Linked DNA regions of Drosophila melanogaster. The protein of the gene in region 1 interacts with the protein of each later gene in a pairwise test. Each region holds a gene or a part of one and is shown in the gene's direction. Other genes may lie near its edges.

Region 1 (6,296 bases):
CATTCGACGGGGATTTAATTTCGACTGCTAGCCAGATCCAATCAAAGTCATTCGCACCCGCAGGTTAATTGTCTCATAATTATTTATAATAATTTCGGAAAATGTTCTACCGTTGCAGAGGAAACGAATCAAGCGATCAGACCGACAAGATGATTTCTCGCCGCAAGATCATATCGCGCTCCCTAGACAATTTGGATGCCATCGGGCAGGAAGAGCAGGAGGAAGACGTCTGGCACGATCGCGAAAAGCTCTTCAGGGTGCGTTTCCTGTCCATTATAACTCATTTGATCTCTAGCTCATCCATTATCCATACCTATTGACACCACGCAGGATCACATCAACGAGGTTCTGTCCAAGTGGGAGCAAATCGACGACGAGATCTGGGCCAAGATAATTGTCTTCGAGAAAAATCGGCGAGTGGCCAAGGCCTACGCCCGCTCCTCTGTGATAACCATAAATGGATCTAAGAATGGATTCGATGGAGTGCGGTGAGTTTGAACTTAATATTTGACTATTAAGAACAACTTATTTAATATGGCTAAATCCACAGTATTGGGCTGAATGGCTTCGATAATCCGATGCGCGATGCGGAGACGAAGGTGATCAAAAAGTCCATCGGCGATGGATTCAAGATCAAAATGGACGACACCGGCAACATATTCATCAAGCGGTATGGCAAGAGCAGCATCTACGTGAACAGCACATCGCAGGGCAACGAGGAGACGGTGATCGGTGGCGACATAATCCAAATGCCGCAGATGTCCCTCACCGCGGCCACCTCCGCTCGACTCTTTGATATGAAGAAGTTCCAGACGAACATAAACCGCGAGTTTGCCCGCACTTATCCGGAGCGCGGAAGACTGGAACGGCAGTGCCTGTCCGCCGTATCGCTTGTCAAGTCGAACAACAATCTTATCAACTCTCCGGTCTGGATACTCGTGGTCAACGTGGTGGCCATGGACATGCTGAGGAGCCGCCTCCAAACGATTCCCAAGTCACTGGATGCGATGGGCATGCGAGTGCCGCTGACGAACAGCAGCGAGGATCCATACTCCACCATCGAAAGCCAAGTGGGATTGATCTATCCTACGCCCGCCGCGTCGGATGATTCCCAGAACTCCCAGCACTCGAGCAACTCCAGCAAGGGACGGCGCAGCATCTTTAGTGCCGCCTTCCTCAACGAGGGTCCATATGTGCCCAAGGTGGGTTCTAACCTAGATTACATTCTACCTGAAAAATTTGGGACTTCAAACCTTTTAACCTGTTTGGGAAAAAAAACTTAGCCTAATAATTCTTATTTGCTTTTTACACTTTGCAGCCCGACTACGAATCTGGCGGATCTTTGACGCCCATATATGCGGACAAGAAGCGACAGAAGAGCAGCGGGTCGCAGCAGCGGAAGAAGCAGGATGATCCGTACTACTGCGGACTCTTGGCGCGTATTCCCAACTTCATCAAGTCCTCGAAGCAGCCGTGCCCTGGAGGAGCCAGCAAGCCCAAGAAGGAGCCAAAGATCTCGCGGAAGATCTCGGCACAGCACCAGCAACAGCAGTTCCTGCAGCCGGCGCAACCCATTCCCATTGCCACATTCCACCACTCGTACTTCCCCTACAAACTGTATCCACCGCAGCACCGTCTCTCCCAGTCGCAAATGTCCCTCTGGGATGCACGTAGTCTGATCAGCGCACATGGTAAGTGACCACTTAATTTGTTAAGTGTATCTCAGTTAATCAGAACATTTCGCCATTTCAGAATGATCACTTTGGCTGGCCCTAATTTATTCATCGTCTAGCGTTAATTCTAAAATTATTTAGTCAAAGCCTACGATTAAGTTTGGTCAGTGAAGGATCATCGATTCACTGGATCACTGTGGAGTGCATTTCGCTCAGTTTTGTGATAAATGCAGCGAAATGCAGCCATTTAGCGTACGTCACTTAATACGCACTAACTCTAATTAACCGCAGTTAACTTTAAGTCAAGCAGAGAGATTTAATGATTATGCAATTTGTAATGAGTAATTAAAATTTTGCCATAGTTTCTTAAATCGTTTAAGACTGAGAGAATGTCCTAGAGCCCACGATAAGCGCACGGAGAGTTTGGCTGAGATTCAGGATGGGGGCAGATAATGTCATATGCAAATTAATTGCTACTTTAGGCAAGTTCAATTTATTATTTTCTTATTATTTTTCTGTACATACACTTCATATGTAAATAAGATCAAATTAAAAACATGTAATCGATATTAGTACGCATTAAAAAAGAGTTATGAAAGTCAATATAAGTGTTTTACTTTAAACGGGTTACAATCTACGCTGCTGAAACTGAATAATAAAGGTATTTTGTATAATTGTGTGTAGTTTGATTTTCATTTACGAGAACATTTAAACATATCTATATCTATATATATTTTCCGACATTTTTGCATTTACTAATTGTGTTTAAATATCGGAACTTAAAATTTATTAAACTGCTTTGCCTCTTTCTAAGATAAACATTGGTGGTGAAAAGTAAACCTGCGCTATCACAAGATTTTTTGTCTCCTAAATTAAATACATAATAAAATGCCGCCAAATTCGTCATCGAACTAAAATCTTAATGTACTAAACGGAGACCATATAAAAACAATCGATTTTCGGTGAGAACGATAACCGATTGCCAGTGAGTGATCTTGTAGCATTGAGGTTACCCGGTCACACTATCACATTGTGTTGCACTTTTTGTGAGGTTTGGATTAGAAAATTATTGGCGCCTCTTTTGCAGAGTTTTGCGACCGACTTCATTGCAATAAGGAGCGCCAGAGTGCGGAGAACATAGCCCGTGACCATGGACAAGTTTCTGTTGCGCAATCCCACGTGGAAGACGAAGACGTACGGATCGGTCGTGGCCAGTTCCGCCGCAGCTGCCAAGAAAACAGCGGCGTCATCGACCCGCCGACCGTTGCACGATTCAAATCTGGGCGACTTCAGGTCCAAAGCAGCGGCACCGTCTCCCAAATCTCTATCCCAGGCCCCGGCAGGTTGGCTGTGCATGCCTATTTTACATTTTGAACACCCAACCCAGTAGTTTTAGTTCCGGATACGTAGCTCACCCAAAATTCGTAGTATTCAAAAAAAAAAAAAAAAAACAGATTACCATGTCGACAAACGAACCGAGCATTACTAACAAGTTGCGTTCCCTCCTGCTAGATGACCAGGCGGCCAGGGATCGGCTGATGCTCAAGCCGGCATTAGCCGTCTCCAAAGCGATCAGCCAGCACCGCTCCGAGTTCCACCAGGACGAGAACGAGGCGGGAGCAGAAGGATCTGCAGCAAAACCAGATCCACCCATCGGAGCAGCCACGCCAACCAGGCAGGAAGGACACTGGGCCCGACTGCAGCAAGATCTCAACAGCCCCAACGCTGCACTCCGATTACGCGCCATTCGTGCATTAAAGTAAGGACAAAAATTGGTTATTGCAATTGTTATTTATACAACCTAAAGGTCAACTAGTGAAAACAGCTCAGATTCTTGACTAATCCATCCTTTTATAGCCATTTTATCGCTAATTTTGTAAAGTTAGATTCTTTAGATGCAATCCCTAATAATTCCATATCCATCAATAACTATTATATTAACAAGCCAGGTTTTTTTGCCAAAACCAAGTATTGATTATTATTATTATTAATTATTGTTTTGCAATGCAATCTAATCTGATTTGAGAAGAAACTGATCATAATAAAAAAAATGCATTCGCTTTTACATTGTATACATTTTTAGAAGCCCCACCAAGTCGGCATACAATACCTTCGATGTGCCTTTAGCCGAACAAAGCATCATCACGATGGAAGAACGCAATCCCCAGGAGCCGCCCTCCCTCCCCGAGTTGCTCAAGGACATAGTCGTATATGTGGAGGTGCGAACTGGAAACGACAATCGCTCTGAGGGCGTAAAATCAATTATTGCCAAGATGGGAGCCCAGGTCAAAGATCGCCTAACGCGGTAAGCTAAGGGATTACAATTGATTGACTAAAATATATTCAATTAAACATTTTTCGTTTGGCTTGTAGAACCACCACACACGTTGTCTTCAAGGATGGCCTGCTCTCCACCTATAAAAAGGCCACCGAGTGGAATATACCAGTCGTTTCCATTCTGTGGATTGAAGCTTGCAAGGTGCAGCTGAAAATATGCGATCCCAAGCAATTTCCAATCAGCAATATACGCATGTACGAGTATCCCGAGCTCTTTGGCAAAATGCCGGTAAGTTATTACTAATTGTGGCTTCTGTTGCATCATCGATCTTATTTATATATTCAAATGGGGATAAATGGGGCTTAAGAAGATAACTTTTAATTGTCACCATTCGGCTTTATAATTTAGCTTGCCTTCTCATAATACTAAGCTCACTGCAAAATACCCAATAACACATTGCAAAAATAGGCTTGTATGTACGTAGATATTAAAAGTTGACTTATCAAGGTCTTCATACAACTTTTAATATTCTTATCATATCATTATTTGTTAGGCCTAACAACTTCCCAAAAGCTTTATCAGATCTAAGACGACAATGTACTTTCGAGTTCATCAACTCTGCATTACATTTTGGTTGGAAATGGCAGCTTTAACTTACACTTCGATTACAAAAGAAATAGGTCTTTAATTAGTCTAATCGTTGACACTATCAATTTATGGCATTGCGGACACAGAAGCATTAACTCCACTTGAGATATGCCCCCAACTAATAGGCCATTCATACCGAGTTTATGGTTTTATGGCGCACATAAAGAACTATATGGAAATTGTACAACAGATAGCCGGCAAGAGGTCTTATCGACCACTTTTCCTGATGACCACGATCACAGTGGGTGGACTGTGGCCCAAAGCACTTGTGCGAGTACAAACATACATATCTGAAATGATTAGTTAATCCAGAAAATGGCGAACAGAAACGCAGGACCGCGGGCCGTCTGAAACTGCACGTATCTCAAACACGGAATACGCGCAATATTGGGAACTCTTCGTGTCGGACAGATTCTTATCACTTATCACTGGCTGACAGCGAGTCAACCAGCTGTTGTTGTTGTTGGCACTCCGGGTTATCTAAGTGAATTTACTTGCCCTTATCAGCTATCGTACGGCCAAAGAAACGGTCAGGAAGTTGTCCGGACGGAGACAGCTACATTTGTGAGGGAAAAAAGCGAGTGGGTGCAACTGAGAGATGTTCATTTGAATTCGTTTAGTTTATTACTTAGACATTAGACGGTTAAAAAAGACACAAGCTACTGGACGCCGGTGACAACTTAAAACCTAATTCACATGCACGTTTGTTTACAAATTTTCCTAGAACAGTTCATTTACATAACTCGCTGGGAATGCTGTACAGATACGTGTGCACAGATACACAATTGCACGGATGTCGTCGCGGCATCGCTGGTTGTCAAGCTTCTTTCTACAAAACTTACACTCTACGCTAGATTATTAGATTCTCGTTTAGGGCTGGTTCTGAGATTTGTACACAGCATGCTTCTATTTACAAGACAGCAGAGTTTTGCGTTAAGTACAGTGGAATCTTTGAGTTTAGCACTAGATTATGAAATCTGCGAGGCGGGCGAAGGCGAGCCGTTCGTTCCTCACGACAGCGCCACCTCCAGACACATCATGATCAGGAAGCCGGATACAGTGCCCCACGTGGCGATCGTTCCATTTCCGCTGGCATGAGCCTCCGGCAGAATGTCGTCCGACACAATGTATATCATGGCTCCGGCCGCAAAAGACAAGGCGTATGGCAGGATCAGGTTGGCAAAGGTCACCGCCACGGCGCCCAGAACTCCAAAAATGGGCTCCACCATTCCGGACAGCTGTCCGTACCACAGAGCCCGCTTCACGCTGAATCCTGCGGCATGCAGTGGCAAGCTGACAGCCAATCCCTCGGGGAAGTTTTGAATGCCAATGCCAATGGCCAAATTGCGGGCGCTCTCAAATGTCGATGAGTTCGTGGAGCCAATGGCACCAAAGCTTACGCCCACAGCCAGCCCTTCTGGAATGTTGTGGACCGTGATGGCCACGACCAAAAGCATAATCCTCTTCCACTGGGACAGGGCGTCCTCGGCGCGCTGCTGCTCCTCAGGCGTGGTGTAGGTGCACTGCTCCATCTCGTTGATGCTAGCTCCCTTCTTTCGGCGTCTCGATTCGCCGCTGTGCTGCACGCTAAGGCAGTCGGAGAAGCTGTCCAGACTCTTTGAGGCCAACCTATCGGGGGCAACTCCATTGCGCTTAGAGTCCTCGATGGCTATGTCCGCCTTGGCTTTTGATTGCGT
Region 2 (5,829 bases), on another chromosome or scaffold:
GTTTTCGCTGTTATAAAAACAAGATCTTAGAATCATTTACTTTGCAGTTCGATGCCGTCGAGAACGGAATACAAGTGTCCAAACTGATGCAAATATTTTCAAAGCAAGCTGCCATGATAGACGCACTTATATCACACTTTACAGATCAAATCAGAAACAAAAAACAGGAGGGTAACACTCAAGAACCTTTTCACGATGGTAAGCCACATACTATCAGCTCTATATGTCATAATCAAATCCAATTCTGATTACTAACCCTTTTCAGAGCCAAATCCTATTCAAAATAATGGAAATGGAGTCTTATGCAATAAGCTGTCTCGATTAACTTTGGCCACCTTCGATGAAGAGGGAGGTCGTTGCATTGGGCAAATGGGATCATTATCTATAAGCTATTAACATTTGTTACTAACGATAAAGTAAATTTAAGTTAAGGGGTGTTGAATAAAGTTCGCGCATATATTCACGAATTGTTGATCGATTTCCATAAATATACTCACAAGTAAATTTTTAGCAAACGGAATCTTCACACTCACAGTCACCTTCATAGCGTATTCCATTAACTTTAATTGTTTTCTAATTTTACAAAATGTCGGTGATCATTATTCGAATTTTAATGAATGGTACAATAAGTTACTTAAGACTTACACTAAGTTACAGAATATATCGCTGAAGGCACTGGCAAACGAAGATTCCATTATATCCACGCACCCATCAGATATTTTATTTGCCGCCAAAGAGTTAATATTATTTATTTATTATTAAATTGATTGCATTTATTCCCATTGATGCCCCCGAATAGTTATCTCTTTTTAGTTTAAAGTTAAGATAAGGCATGCAGTATATATTAAGATATATACTTATATGGGTATGTGCATTTGACGTATGCGTTCAGAATTAGTTTAATAAGCCTTCGACTGAAACAAATTATGTATATAATAACAATAAAGTGTATGTACAAAATGTAAGGGCTAACTGCCAACATAGGTTATGTATATATTTAAATTTGTATGTATGTATAAATTGAGACTTAAAATAAATACCGTTTCCTCATACTTATACTGCAAATACTTATAAATCTAATGCAATTTGATTTTTCCATTAAATGTGCACTTATTTTGACTTTATGTATCAGAAAGAGTATCTCAATGCGGTATGTCAACAAATTGTTAATTTTAATCGATAATTACGATTTGAGTACGCTTGCAATCGTTTATTTATTGTGTAGGTTTCATATTTAATTTAAAACAATCCATTCATTTTAAAATACAGTTTTGTGACAAATAAACTTGAATGAAAATTGTTTAATAATAAATAATGATATAGTTATAACATACAGCAAAACGGAAATTAATCAATACAAGTAGATGTAATCTAATAAATTATAGTTAATAGAAAATTTATTTAAATATGTGTAAATCAAACATAAATACTAAAGGCTACTTACTTTCTAAACTGTGTCTTTTAATAACACAATAAAAAAGTATTAAAAAAGGGATGTGTGATATTATTTAAGGAGAATATTGAACGGATTAGCATTTCTAAAATGATTATTTTAAAGTGTACTTAGCCAATTTTCGCAATTTATAATATGATTTGGTATATTTACCAGGCTGAAAGCTTTTAAAGCAGTTCTTCTTCTAGAATGCTGATAGTTTTCTCGAGATTGAAAGCTTTTGTTATTTTTTCTTTAGTGGACGGCGCAGACGCATTAATAGTTTAAACAATAATTAAACGACGAGATTCATTGAGACATTATAATCCATTTTAATAACAATAACAGTGTTTGACAGCATATACATAGTTCTTTGGATTAGGGGTAGAATCAAAGAATTACAATTAGAAAGGTGTTCCAACAAAGGTGTTATGTACATTACGTACGTTTTTAGTATACAGTCGCAATCAAAAAATTAGAAGTGATCCATAAATAATATATTTATATGAATTACATCGTTTTATGAAGGTTAAAACAATTTTGTGTGCGAATAATCATCAGCAAAGAACTATGCAAGTTCTCCATATAAGGTATGTGCTATTCTTTTATATTATTGTACTTCGTGAGCACTTATACATATAAATAAAAATATTTAAAAAAACGCAGTGAATTCAAAACTTGTGTTAATAAGTTTAGCCTGATCACCTTTTAGTCTATATATTTTCTATTATCTTCATAAGATAAGGGTGCAATGAAAATATTTACCACAAATAACGGACAAAGAGTACTCATGGAAATTAGTGCAAACACACAGATGGAGAGTGCAAATAATATAGAGTGGAATTGTGTTATTCTCGGTAGATTCGCAACCCAAAAGTGCAACCAGGTCCACGTCCGTATCAGATCCGCTCACGCACATGCGAATGCGAGAAGGTTGGCCAAATACACGCACACACACTTTCGCAGGAGGGAATGTTTATGGGAGGTAAATAACTGGTTTTTATATAAACACACGGGCACATACACACACACACACGCAGCCACGTGGAGGAGCCGATTTGGAAATGTGCATCCTGCATGCTGAATATCTAGATCCACAACACCACCACACACATACGCAGCCCGCGAAGAGGGACGCGAATGATGGTCAGGACATCAAACCCGTTAAGAGAGCCGAACAGAGCGAATTTCGTGAGCAGGACATGAGTAACAAGTTGTTGCACTGGTGGGTGGTGGGTGCGCGCGCGAGAGAGAGAGAGAGAGAAAGGTGAGAGTGGCGCTTTGCTCCGATTGGTCGAGAAAAAGCGAGAAAAACGTCATGCCGTTCTCTTCGCCGCAAAATCATCGGATCATCTCGGCGGTCGCCGTTCGCCTGTCGCCGTTCGCAGTTCGCAGCTCGCCTTTCGCGGAATCGGATTCACAATCACATCCTTCTGCGAGTTCGAGGAGTGCACACCGGTGGTCGCATCCGCAAAGTCCGCGCTTCGAAACCGCTATCGTAATCGCAATCGCTATCGCCAGCGCAACCAGAAATAGAACCATGGATATCTCCGCCTACCAGCACATGAACATCCGGATGAGCACGCGCGGCAAGCGTCCTCTGAGGAACCTCACGCCCAACGACAAGGTGCGTGCCATCCAGCGCATCCACAATGGTGAAACCAAGGCGAGTGTGTCGCGGGACATCGGAGTGCCGGAGTCCACGCTGCGTGGCTGGTGCAAGAACGAGCAGAAGCTGCGCTTCATGTGCCGCCAGCTGGGCCCCGATCACCTGGGTCTCGACACGCCACCGGAAAAGCGCGCCAAGTTCGAGCTGCAGCTCCAGCTGCCACCGAAGTTCGTGGCACTGCCTCCAAACTACGAGGAGCTGGGCTTCGGTGCACTGCCCTACAGTCCAGCCGATTACCCAGTGCAAAATGAATCCCTGCTGGAGAAGCTTAGCCTTGTGGAATTTGTAAAAAAGAACGGTGGATTGCATCCGGAGGGTGCACTGCATCCGGGTCAGGCCGGCGTGATGGACTACTCCAACAACATGCTGCACCAGCTGAATCTTCTGGCCCTGCTCAACTCCAAACTCACCCCACAGACTGCCGATGTCCTGGTAGATGCACAGCCGAAATCAGAGGACAACAAAGTGATTGATTCGCCCGCTGCTTCCGAGGATTACAGCAAAAACAATTACCCCTTGCTGAGTGTTAAGAACTGGGCCAAGGATCCGGCCAAGCGGGTGAACTCCGCCAATCAGCCGGAGCAAGTGAACGATAAGAACAACAATGCCCTGGAGGCCAACAGTTCCGCACCACAAGCTCTTGTCACGGAGCAGGCGAAGACTCCCATGTTCTCGGACACCACAATGCCCCTACTGCCAGCACCCTTCCCGAATCCTGCGGATCTAGCGCCTGTGATAGCACCAGTGACTCCGGCAAACGCCCCGCCCACTGGAACCGATAACCAGGGAGCGGCTCTGCTCGACTGGTGCAAGCTCTTCAATGCCAGTTTGAACTTCCTGGCCTTCGCTGCGGCCGCAGCCTCCATGCAGCCCGGCGGCGGAGGACCAGGTGGACCCAGCTACAATCCCAACCAAATGGCCAGCGGCGGATCGGAGCCGGATCTCGAAACATATCCTTTCAACGAGGCGCTACTAAAGCGACTGAGTCCACTGGCGCACAGTGAGGCCTCCAACGAAAGCTACTGCGACAGCGAGCCGGAGGATCTGTCCGTGCGCTCCTGCGCCTCCAAGGCGTCCAGCAGATCCCACACTCCCGACAAGAGCGTCGGGTCCAGCGACGCCGAACAGTAGACACCCTACATTATAGCATAGTTGTAGTTGTAGTTCATAGTGTAAATACATCCATTTTTATTGTTATTAGCCACCTTTAGTATTAATGAAACTCGAATCATTTCGCAATGCAAATGCCATTTGTACTTATCAATTAACGTATTAATATCACTGCAACAGGTATTAATAGCTCAGCATACTATAGCTAGTATTAACTAGGAATATCAACTGTGTGACTACTTGTTTGAAAGCCAAATTCAATTCATCTACACGTATTATAACAAATACTAATTGTGTTAAGTAGCTTAATTAGTTGGCACATTTTGTCAGCCATTCCAATCGATTTGTTTTATTACTGTGTAATCTGCGTAACTCTCAAATAAGCATATAAACTAATTACTAATGAAACGAATAAATATTTATTAACAAAACAAAATAAAATTCAAGTGTCAATCTCTCAAGATCAAAACATTTTTTTACTTGATGGGTTTTCAATTACAGCGGTTAGAAAAATGGGTCAATTTTCTACCTATGAAGAAAATGAAAGTCTTACCCGCCAAAAGGCTTATCGAAAAACAGGAATTTTCTATAGAATTAAAGTATTTAATTATAACAAAACTAAATTAATTCATGTGGTTTTTATTTAAAACGTTCGCAAGTTAAATAAAACTTACAGGCATTTGCAAGAAAAACAAATAGTCAACTTTTTACCCATATTTTAAAAATATATTTCATTAAACTAATTTTAAATTCATTATGCAAATTAAACACAAATCGATTGAATCTTTAAGTTGCAAACAAATAAAAACTTGAAAATGCTAATGAATCCTACTTTGAATTTCCATTAGAAGTAAAACTCTTTTACCAAAAAGCGCCTTCATTGGTTTTTTGCCATTTATTTTGTAGGGATAAATATTAAACTTGGCATGCAAATGAATACATGTATGTGCCGAAGCACATTCCATATTCTATATGATGAAAGGGAAGCATCATTATAGGTGCCATAGATGGAGGTCAGCAGTCAGCAGAGGAGTTTGGGTCCTGGCATCTGGGCTGTGCGTTAATGAGTCCTCTTCCTGTTTTCCCTGCTCCTTTTACCCTGCTCCTGACGATTGGTGCCTGGAAAGCGTTTTCGGAGGCATCGGTCATGCCGAACACGAAAAAATGGCACCATGGCCAGAGGAGCGGCCCAAGAAGCAGAAGGAGCGGAAAGAGCAGCCGCCACGGATGGCCATCCAGCGGCATGAAGACGAATTATTGGTTCGCCTTTTGGAAAAATTAAATATCGCGTGTTGGTAATTTCCGCTTGGCTTCCCATTGCCGCTGCCATCGGGTGAAGTTGAGGCGAATTATTACGATGATTAGGCGACTGACAGTGCTCCCAGGCATCGGCATCCACATCCACATCCACATCCATATCCACATCCACATCCACGTCCATGTCCATGTCGACCATCCGGCCTGCCAGCCGTGATCTGTATGCATGTTTCGCTCCGCATTTCGCATTTCGCAACTCGCAGCCCGCAACTCGCATTTTCGCATTTCGCATTGCATGTGTTGTGCGCAGCGTTTTGTGGACATCTTCGTGGCATTCTGGTTTTGGTTCTGGGCGAGGATT
Region 3 (5,156 bases), on another chromosome or scaffold:
GAAGTTCGCCTAAATGCATAAAATGACAAATACTACAATTAAGTATCAGAGCATTTTTAAAGTAACATTCGAATAAAGAATATAAAATATTTAAAATGTGTTTAAATTATCATTACAAAGAACACTAGGAGAACATTTTATATGGCATGTCCGCACAAACTCTCAAAGCTTTTTGTTATAATTTATAATGTTACTTCTTCCTTATTTGCTCTATAATATGCAATGAAAATGGGCTGAATTATCAAATAGGCCTACGTCTCCCTAATTTCAATAGATTTGCATATTCTCCATCTTACAAATGATTGCTTGCATCAGAAAAGCCACTGGAACAGTAACGTATAAAAGCGTCGACCAAATGTAATCTTCGGCAAAGGAAACCCATCTGCCGAACTGCCCGCACAAAAAATGTATTTAGCCACCCACAAGTAGATACAAGTATTCACGATGCGCATCTTTCTAGTAAGAACACAAAGCATTTATTCCGCACTTTGTGTAACCATCAAACAATTTCAGATTCTAAGCCTCTTTCCTATGGCGCGAGGGAAGTACGACTACACTCCAGTATCGTATGCCGGTAATGGTCACGGAGGACTGATTGGCGCGCCCAGCTTTCTAAGGCTATAGCACCCGCCAGCGAGTTCACCAAGGAGTTCTTCACCTACAGTGCTCCAGAGCACGAATTTGATGACCACCCCAACGAGCAGATCGCTCACTTGATAAAGAAGAACGTGCTTGTGTTGTTTATCAAGGATCCCGATAACAAGGGACTGGAGCAGGCGGCGCTCCAGCTGGCCACCTCCGCGTCCGCCGACCGCATCGCCATTTACGTGCTCAACAAGCAGGAGAACATTGGCAAGTGGATCACCAACCTGAATACTATCCGTAACAACAACAAAAACCGCAAGCCCGAGGTTCACTTTGTGAAGTATTGAACGCAGAGCGACGCGAAGAACGCCCAGCGCACTATCCAAGCCCAGTATGACTTGCTACCGGGAGTTTCAACCAACTACAACGGTGGAGCCTCGGTCTCCGTCTTGGACTTTGCGTCTAAGGTCATTTCAAGTGGAACTGACGACGGGAATGCGTTCGTTCGCAAGGTAAACGCACCGTCGACAAGCCCGTACTTGCCACCTTCTCATGAAAAGTATTAGTTTAAACGCAAAATAATCAGTATAAGATATAACCGAAGACATTAGTGCCTTTGGTATAACACTATGTTTCAATGTCGTGTTACCGGGAAAGGAGATTAGCCGTGACTATATGCAATCATTACGGACGTAGTCCACGTAGTGAAAAAGAATGTGCCACGGGGACCACAATATGTATAGGAATCAATGATAATCTGTTTTTTCTATAATAATAATTTGTGCTAAACAACTTTATTTAAAAAACATAACGGCATTTTTAATTCTATGCATGCTTAGATAACGTTTTTTGTACCGACAAAACTGTACAGGCCATAAAATTCCCCTTACTTATGGTATTTAATAGTCGTAAAAACAAAAAACAAAAAAGAATGCTGTAGTCGAGTTCCCCGACTATCAGATACCCGTTACTCAGATCAATTCACCACTTTTCTGGTATTTCGATAGATATTGGAGAATAAACTGAGGAAAAATTTAATAAATTTAACAAGGCAAAAAGCTGCGTCTATGTACATGATCTCAACTCTCTAGCCTCTATAGTTCCTGAGATCTCGACGTTCATATGGCCGAGTCGATCTGGCCATGTCTGTCTGTTCTATAAAAGCTGGATGGATTAGATCAAACACCCACAAATCGCCAAAAGCTGCCACACTGTTCAAAATTGTAAATAACATATTTTTAATTTTTTCCTGCCAATTTCGATGGGTTTTTGGCATGTTGTTTTGCCTCCACTTTAACGCTAACAAACCGCCCAAAAAATGTTGCGATTACTCGTTCGCACTCCCTCTAGCTGAGTAACGGGCAATTTATTTCATTTCGTCAAATGAAAACTTGATTTTTGGAATGTTTTCGATTGAAACTTAAAAACATCGACTCGCCTAATTAACGCTCAACTGCCGACCAAAATTCGCTTTACCACACTTTATAAGAATATTTATATTACTCGTAGAGTTAAAGGGTATACTAGATTCGTTGAAAATTATGTAACAGGCAGATCCAACCATATAAAGTATATATATTCTCGATGAGGATCAATAGCCGAGTCGATCTGGCCATGAACGTCTGTCCGTTATTTCCATTACCGTTATTGCCCATTATTTCCAATTACCGTTGTGCAAGTAGAAAACAATTGAACTAGCAAGTAAAAGCATTACCCATAACAATAGTATTGTTAGCATGATTCCAGGTTGGATTCAAGCCATGAAGTGCTATATTTCTGAAGAACTGAGCATATTTTCACAAATATCTTTGAGCTTATTGGTTTTTCTGCATTTTTGAAAAGACTTGTTTAATAACAAATTCATTTATACAACATCTGCGACAAAGCGAATTTTATATGCAGATAGATCGCTTCCCACAATTTTGGTCATGAATGTGTATAAATTGGGTTTCCGTCCATAAAACTTACTTTCTTCATATTATCCCAGTTTTGTCAATCGAACCGCTTTACCTATTAATATTTTGCATATAAATATATTCAGCGTTGACAATGGGGATCTCAAGCGATTATTTAAATTTGAACGCAGCGTTGGTCGCCAAGTTAGATAAGATCCCGGACTGTTCAAGCAGTGCATCTGCGCACACGGATCTGTGATTTGGCAACCGCCAATGTGAAACGTTACATATTCGAAGTTGTGAAGTCTATAATAGATTCATACGATTTATGGTAGTGCCTAATAATTTTTTCATTTATTGGGAAAACGATGCCAGCCTGGACAGATATAAAAACATAGCAATGGGAAGGCAGGGCATCATTCGACCCTAGCAGCTCAGACAGTTCAAAGTGAAAATGAAGCAGTTCGTTGTTCTAATGGTAAGCAACTGGCACATGAGCGATCCCCGCAACAACTAACACTTAATGTGCTCTTGCAGTGCCTGGTGGCCCTCACAGCAACAGCTCCTCAGGGATACAAGTACCAACCTCAGCTGCCAGCCCTTCCCATTGGCAATCTTCGTCCTCTGACACCCATTTCGTCAAGTGGAATATACGCAAGTGGCGCCGTCCCATCTTTCCCACAGGCCGGTGCTCAGCCCGCGATCGGTGTCCAGCCAGCCATTCAAGCCGTGCAGACCATCGTTGCCGCTCCTGCTCCCGCCCCCGCTCCCGCTCCTTTGTCGATCTCACTCCCAAAGGAGACTTTCCTTACTGCTTCGCCCCAGCAAAACCTGATCAGCACTGTGCAGCAGCAGCCTCAGCAAATCGTGTACCAGCAGCAACCGCAGCAAGCCCTTCAGACCCAGTTCGTCCAGCGCCCCGCTATCGTTACCAAGGACATTTACATCCACTCCGCCCCCGAGGAGAATGAGGAACTGCGGCAGGACGAGCCACTTCTGGAGAATGTGCCCATCCGCAAGAACTACCGGATCGTCTTCATTAAAGCGCCTTCCCAGAATCTGAAATATACCGCCGCGGCCCTGAAGCGGGCCCAGTCAAGCAACGAGGAAAAGACCGTCATCTACGTGCTCTCTAAAAAGCCCGATCTCACTGAGATCCAGCAGCAGCTGCAGGTTACCCAGTCTGAGGCCAAGGTTCAAAAGCCGGAGGTCTACTTCATTAAGTACAAGACCCAGGAAGAGGCCCAGCGCGCCCAGCAGGAAATCCAGGCCCAGTACGACGCCTTGGGAGGTGCAACCCACATTTCGGACGAGGGAGTGGCTCCCATCGCCAGCGTTTCGAGTGGCTCCCTTAACCTGGGCAGCTTTGTGCCCCAGCACTCCCAAGCTGGCCAAACCATCATCCACTCTCAGGCGCCAACCATTATCCAGCCACAGGGTCAGCCCATTGTTCAGCTGCAGTCTATTAACCAGGGGGTCCAGGGGGTCCAGCAGCAGAGCTCCTTTGTGCAGAAGTCCACCTCCTCATTCGCTCCCTCGGCGCCATCAAGGAAGTATGTGCCGGCAAAGACTTTTTAAAAAGTTGTAGTAAGAATCCTATCGCTTTCATTGTTTTATATCAACCATCATACTGTAGTAAATTTTAATTTATTTTTAATGCAAAAGTCGAAAGTCGAAAGAAATATAAAAAAATTTAAATCGAAACCCAAAAAGCCTTCTGTTTCTAGTACTCGTTTTTAAGTTTAATCCTTTTAATATTTTAGATAGGTTTTGTTTTAGGATTTGGAATTAATCTTTCATTTAAGGCATAGCTTGAGTTTAATGTTTCTTATGAAAACGCTGTTTATTTTTATCACAAAAATGTTTCAATGGGCTAAGAGACTATGACAATGACTTCTTTCTCGCAAGAAAGTTTGGACCATCTCTTTTGGCATTAAGCCAACAGCCATAATAATCAAGTTTTCGTGTGGCTTAATCGTTGTTATGTAAGTCAAATCACATGCTAATTTATGCGACCGGTTTTCGGCTTGGATGGCTGTCATTGGACTAATGGATGTGGTAACATGGTCCATAGAAAACTATTTTGTTACTTTGAAGTATTGAAACTCGATTTCATATTTGAATATGGCTGCAGAGTCGCTTTCTATCATAAGGCGGAGCTCAAAATATGAACTTTATTTAACTAAATGTGTAAATTACAAGAGTTCAAGTCTTAAAATTACGACAGTGGCCTTGGAGTTGTACCTAAGCACGCAGATTAGTTGGCAAGTAGCTGTTTGGCAAGGAGCCAGAAAACTGTCCGGATGAAATTCCGTTGTTGCGCTGGTTGTCCAGTACGCCAATCACGGATGTAACGGGTGCAACTCCCTCGTCAGAAACCTGTGATGTTCCGCCAAGCTGGTCATATTGAGCTAAAAGAAGTAAATCGGTTAAAAATCGGGTAATAAAAATTTGGACAAGCCAGATTAATTGGTCGATAGACATTTCTATGAAGCTTGCAAATCGAAACATTTGAGGTCTGTTGCATACTGATGAGGTCTTCAAGTGTGTCTCATAGCATCTGCTCGATGCGGGTGTTGCTCACCTTGAATGGTACGTTGCGCATGCGCAGCTTCCTCCTGGGTCTTGTATTTGATGAAAAATACCTCTGGCTTGCTGGGCTGCTTCGGCGCGATT
Region 4 (5,683 bases), on another chromosome or scaffold:
GCAGTTGCCTTCTTATTTTCGGTGTTTGTGGTAAAAGTGAAAAATATACACTTGCTATAGAGTGTAATAAAATTATTTAATATGGTAGTCGAAGCATTTCTCGGAAATCAGTAAATCACTTTATGTGGAAGTCAAATTTTTTTCAGGTTAATTTGAGGTTTGGGATTGTAAGTGAGTGGTATTTTTATATGAACTGACTTTGGTTTAAATTGATTTAAATGGTTAACGGTTAAGTAGAAAGTCCAATAATATGGCATTCTGTACCACTGAGATGGGTATCTATATCCACCACAAGGTTTGCAGCTGCTTCTACTCCGTTTTTAAGTCAAGTGACCTACGCATTCTTCGCTGGCGATGGAATGCGCCTCTTCACTGCCATTGGCCAACTAATCGACTTGTGGGTTCACATCTCAATGACAAAGCCCCAAAGTATCTGCCCCATTCGTGTTGGCCGCTGTGCTTCTTCTATGGCTTTTGCTGTTCGTGGCACTTGAATGCAACAAGTGGCAAGTCAAGTGGCGCATCCCCGGTCGCTTCGTCTATTTTAAGCTGCTGCGATGGAAATTCCCCCCAAGAGGGACGCAGCTCCCCGGCAATGTCAATTTGAAGCGATCGAAGGGCATCGAAAAACAAGACTAAGCCAATGCCACGAGGAGAAGGGCAGGAGATCGAGTATTCGACACAAATCAATAACTCATCGATGGACGTGCTACTGCACTGTTGACCTGATTTTCACCAAATTTCGAACCCTTGATGACACAATCTGCGGCAGCTCCTTTGGTCTTTCTCTTGACCAGGGATGGAATAAAAACTGTTCTTGTAGTCAATATAATTTACCTTAAATAAATTTGTCAAATTTTTTTATCTCATCACTAAAGATCAGATTTTCACCAAGTTTTTCTTTTTGTACTTATACATTTGATGGGCTTAAGCTTGTAACTCGGCCAAAATGGCAGCCACAGCTAAGAAAAACACCTTTTTAGAGAGCTAAAGACCTCAGCAAACCAACGCAATCACTTTTGATTTGATTCCAGAAATTAAATTTTTTGTCAAAATTTTCCATTTTTTATAAGGGGTAACATCGTAATTTTTCGCAAAAATTGACAAAAAATTTTTTTTTCATTCTTGAATGCCAAACGATTAAGCATGTTTTTACGAGTCCAGCAAGGTATGACAATCTATATTTTGACCTCGTTTACGGATAATTTTGCACATTTTTACTGATATTTTTGAACAATTTTATCAATTTCTATGCCATGTTTCAATGTACTATTTACTTATGTATATGTTTAAATTAAGTTGCATCCCTGATTTTATTTTTTGAGTCCGGACCCTTCTTCCCGTTGACAGCGCTTGACTCGTTAGGCTTCTTCTTCGGTGGCCAAGTGCACCAATTTCCAATCGATCGAACGGTGACGTAAAGCTCCAAAACCCTGTTGCCATTACGTACGCCCCCCAACTTCTTGTGCCGCCTTATAGCCATGTCGATGTAGTTATAGCCATAAGCTACATGTGTCCGCACAGCCACTCGACATTTCTCCACCTCGCTGCGTCGAGATGCGTCGGCTGCAATTACAATTAATGATTTCTGTGTGTGGACAGCAAGTGGACAAGCGTCTCGATTCAGCTGGTTACTGGTTGGTTACTGGGTATTGGATAGTGGGTACTGGCGGTCTATTTACTTTCGAACCAATGGCTGTGTGCAGCAAATCCAATTAAATGCCGCTCGCTATTCACTTTATTTGGGTAGCTGCTGTTTTGTTTTATTACTTATTGTTTTCGTTTTCGACGCTTAATGTTTGGCTTCAATTTGAAAATTGATTTTGATTTTGATTTTGTTACGATTGTTTCGTAATTGTTATCGTAGGTGTTGAAAGTGTCCGCCGTCAACGGTTGACAGTTCGGGGGAAATTTGGAACTGGCCTTGAAAAGCCCTTCGTTATTGTGTTATTTTTGGTCTGATGACTGCGTGTATTTATAGGTTTATAAACGAATTTGTTAGGGTTTAAGAATGGGTTAAAATGCATTGTATTGTATGCAATGACTGGGATCTTTTAAAGTAACTATTGTTAGTTCCATATGCAATGAGACAACATTGAAGCTTAATGATACTTAAGAATGAGTAGAAATAATTATAAAGAAAAATACTAAAGCTGAAAGCATAATAAACCTGCAACTTTGTTTTACAAATTTACTAAGTTACACATTTAATGTATACTTGGCTTAATGTCCTAGCACAACACGTTGTTTTCGTATTTCCCGTTCACTATTTAGATTCCTTGCTAATCATGCGAAAAAATGGATTATCCCTTGACTGGATTGCCGGGGAATCACATGACCCGGCTGTCGAGGAAGTACAAACTGGACAAACAAGTTCCTCGAGGCGTCACATGAATGAAGTTCATCAATGGGACTCGGTCGAGTGTGTAATCGTGGGTCACTTTCGATTTCGAGCCAGCAATTTAAGTGCGCTCCAATTGTGAAAATAACACTTGGCGCACTTGGCCGAAGGTTGCGGCTGCTGCATCTTTCAGATGCGAGATATGAGATACGAGCTACGAGCTACGAGCTACAAGATACCAGATACGAGATACTCAGCGGAGAGTGTTACACATAACGATTTGGGCAAACATTTTTTCGCGTTGGCCCAGGGCATTGATTGTGGACTATGGGGTTGCCCCCTCCTGGGAGATTCGTTTTGCAGACGGGTTTGCTCCAATTTCTCGCTTGTGAACCCAAAAGACACGTGTCGCAGACTTCTCTCTGCATCCGTATCCGTATCTTTGCTCTGCGCCGCCTTCTACTCGCTTTTGGCCAAGTTCATCCGAAGCTCTTCGCGTCTCTTTTGATGCTTAATTAAATTCATTTTTTCGTTTATTTCGTTTACCTTTTGTAATGAGACTTTGAGCACTCGGAGCTGCGGACATCGAATCATATAAATTCGGACCGCGGCGGCCAAGTCAGCATCAGTCGAGCATCGAGCTTCTCCATCGAAGCATTTCATCGAGCCAAAGGATTACGGGCTTACTAAGCAGCAAAGGATTTCCGATTACCAGAAGCAAAATGCGTGTCTCCTCGCTGTTCGTTGTGTGCGTGGCCTCCCTGGTGGCCACCACTTTGGGTCGTCCTGAGCCCCCATCCCCGTACTCCTACCACGGATTGCCTCAGCAGCAGAGCCAGCGGGCTTTGCCACTCAATGGTAAGTGGGCGGAGGATGAAATAGAAACATTATAGGAAATTAAAGCGAAAAAGATTAAAGCTATTTATGTGACACAGATTTTTGCTAAAGTCTTATGAGCATGACAACTATTAAAGATTAGATTAAACATTGATTATAGTAATATAATTCAGCAAATGTAGATATATTAACTCCATATATTTATCTTAATCTTATTAATCTTTCTTTTTGGACAGCTCACCCCGTTCCCCCGCAGATTTACCAGCCTCTGCCCCAGGAGCAGTCGTTTGCCAACTTTGCACCGCCCCAGCAGACCTACTTGCCACCCCAAATGCATCTGGATGCCATCGAGCAAGTGGCTCCCACTGCCGCCGCCGCTGAGCCCCTGAATGCCTACGATGACAGCTACAACATGGCCCACCGCCTGTCCGGAGTGCAGCATGCCAGTGGCTACAACAATGGCCCCCAGGAGACCAAGGTGCACAAGCACATCTACGTCCATGTGCCGCCAAAGGACTTCGAGGAGGAGGATGCCATCCAGACCCGAGTTCACCACCAGCAGGGACCCAAGCAGAAGCACTACAAGATCGTGTTCATCAAGGCACCATCTGCTCCGGCTATCCGTCAGCCAGTTGTGCCACCACCACCCCAGAATGAGGAGAAGACTCTGATCTATGTGCTGCACAAGAAGCCCGAGCAGGAGCAAGATATCGTGATCCCGACGCCACCACCCACCAAGCCATCGAAGCCAGAGGTTTACTTCATCAAGTACAAGACCAAGAAGGACGAGGCCCCCGTCTATGGACCCCCACCTGCAGAGATGGAGCCCCGTCAGGCCACCGCCGAGGATTTCGCTCCATTGGCTGAGGTCGCCGATGTCCTGCCACCCACCACCCTGGCTCCTGCTCCCGAGCCGGAAGTAGAGCAGCCAGCCATTCCCTCCGCGGTCTACGGACCACCCACTGCAGCTGCCTATACTGGTGAGGAGGTTCAGACCACCTTGTCCGCTCCTGCCAACCAGTATCTGCCCCCTGCCACCGCTCCCGCCGCCCTGGCCATTGAGGAGCCCTCAATGGCGCCCATCGTGGTGGAGGAACAGCCCGAGCAGCGACTGGCTCCTTCCCATGTGCCTGCCACCAGCTACGGTCCTCCCAACCGCTACTTCCTTAAGAAGCTGAAGTGAAGCCCGCTGCTTTGAGATGGTGATGCCTTAGCCAATTTCACAGTTTGTCATAGTCTAATGTCCATTGGATGCACCTCTTCCCAATCCCCTGTTCCCAATTCACACATGCACACGTGCCAAACCTCCCCACATGCACATCTCGTTGTTTGTTCGTTTGTATAACTTGTTACATTTGTTTTAATAAAGAGTAGATAATAAATATCAAATTTATAAAAAAAAAACTAAATGGCCTTTTAGTGTGGAATATTCCTCAAAAGTTTTATACACTTTCTTTAAGCTTAGTAAATGGTCCAGTTAATTCGGATAAAACACAGTGGAACAACAATGGATTTCGCATTTCAATGATTTAATGATGGCTCATGCCGCCTAATATGATAATTGACCCTGTGTGAAGTCGTGACCTTGGCAAATTTACAGCCTGCTTAATTGCGTTACGTTTTGTTGATTTCGGCTGTAGGCCCAATTTCGACGGCTTTCCTCATTGCTGTGCTCATAGAAAAATCGTAAAGTAATGGCCAAAATGGCAAAGCACTTAGAGGGAAGAGGCCGGAGCAACATGTTGCTGAGACTTCCCGCCAAAAGCAACAGTTGCTGCCTGCGCAGAGCTATGTTGCAACATGTGGATGGAAAAGCCGGGAAAAGGAGTACGAGGAACTGCCTTTCGGGTTCGTGCCCGAGTTTCGTGGCCGTTTGATCAGTCAGTCCGGATGAAAAATCCGGCTGCACACTCAGTTCGCTTTCTGTGCTCGCGCGAGTCGCATCGTAGGTGGGCGTGTTCCTTCACTTTATGTCGGTCGTCTCCGTCTGGTTAGCGTATTCAACGTATTCAAACTTATAAGCCCATTGAAAACACTCGGTCCATTCAATTTAGCGAGTGGTCATAAGCAGCGAAAACACTATCGGTAAACGGTAAACAATTAATGAATTGCGACTTTAATCACGCGTCCAACAGTGCGTATACGCAATACGAAAAGTGAGTGATTGCAAGTGAAATTGTGGGCCATTGTTTCAGGTCATTACATCTGGCATTGGCATTGACATTGGCAGTCTCGACGACGTGCAATCCCCTCGAGGGTAGCTCCAGTCCAATCTCAGTGCCTCGCTGCACCAGGTGAGTTGTAATGAGCTTTGTTTACCTGCTAATCAGCTTGTCCTCTCCGCCGGCAAATGGCTTGTTGTTTCCGCTTGTTAGCATTTGGCTGTGTTTCACACATCTGGTCGCTGGTTCGGTTCTGGTGGGGATTAGCTTCCGACACATGACTATATTTCACGGACGAGTTTTAGACCAACATTCCTGTTATAGTCAATATATTTTGGTAACA

What was found.
Region 2: the proteins of MCPH1 (region 1) and danr interact in a two-hybrid assay, tested with the Drosophila melanogaster proteins (one large-scale study listed by BioGRID).
Region 3: the proteins of MCPH1 (region 1) and TwdlF interact in a two-hybrid assay, tested with the Drosophila melanogaster proteins (one large-scale study listed by BioGRID).
Region 4: the proteins of MCPH1 (region 1) and TwdlC interact in a two-hybrid assay, tested with the Drosophila melanogaster proteins (one large-scale study listed by BioGRID).

Annotation. Positions count from the first base shown.
Region 1 is NT_033778.4:11,900,301-11,906,596, reverse strand, and holds the start of MCPH1 (microcephalin), read left to right. Parts: upstream 1-2,678; 5' UTR 2,679-2,823; coding exon 2,824-3,016; intron 3,017-3,058; exon of another isoform or gene 3,059-3,133; coding exon of another isoform or gene 3,134-3,185; coding exon 3,186-3,432; intron 3,433-3,756; coding exon 3,757-3,978; intron 3,979-4,046; coding exon 4,047-4,239; intron 4,240-5,202; exon of another isoform or gene 5,203-5,609; coding exon of another isoform or gene 5,610-6,296. Other genes in the region: reb (rebuf), read left to right, coding at 150-257, 331-488, 551-1,202, 1,319-1,691, 1,753-1,757; Zip48C (Zinc/iron regulated transporter-related protein 48C), read right to left, coding at 5,610-6,296.
Region 2 is NT_033777.3:25,135,261-25,141,089, forward strand, and holds danr (distal antenna-related), read left to right. Parts: upstream 1-2,811; 5' UTR 2,812-2,972; coding exon 2,973-4,232; 3' UTR 4,233-4,643; downstream 4,644-5,829. Other genes in the region: Bili (Band4.1 inhibitor LRP interactor), read left to right, coding at 48-198, 266-396. UniProt on the Drosophila melanogaster protein: Probable transcription factor with a role in the retinal determination (RD) network. Regulates ato expression and is required for normal R8 induction and differentiation.
Region 3 is NT_033777.3:4,244,127-4,249,282, forward strand, and holds TwdlF (TweedleF), read left to right. Parts: upstream 1-2,893; 5' UTR 2,894-2,934; coding exon 2,935-2,958; intron 2,959-3,017; coding exon 3,018-4,058; 3' UTR 4,059-4,187; downstream 4,188-5,156. Other genes in the region: TwdlG (TweedleG), read right to left, coding at 4,725-4,891, 5,065-5,156.
Region 4 is NT_033777.3:26,991,871-26,997,553, forward strand, and holds TwdlC (TweedleC), read left to right. Parts: upstream 1-2,961; 5' UTR 2,962-3,063; coding exon 3,064-3,199; intron 3,200-3,414; coding exon 3,415-4,361; 3' UTR 4,362-4,572; downstream 4,573-5,683.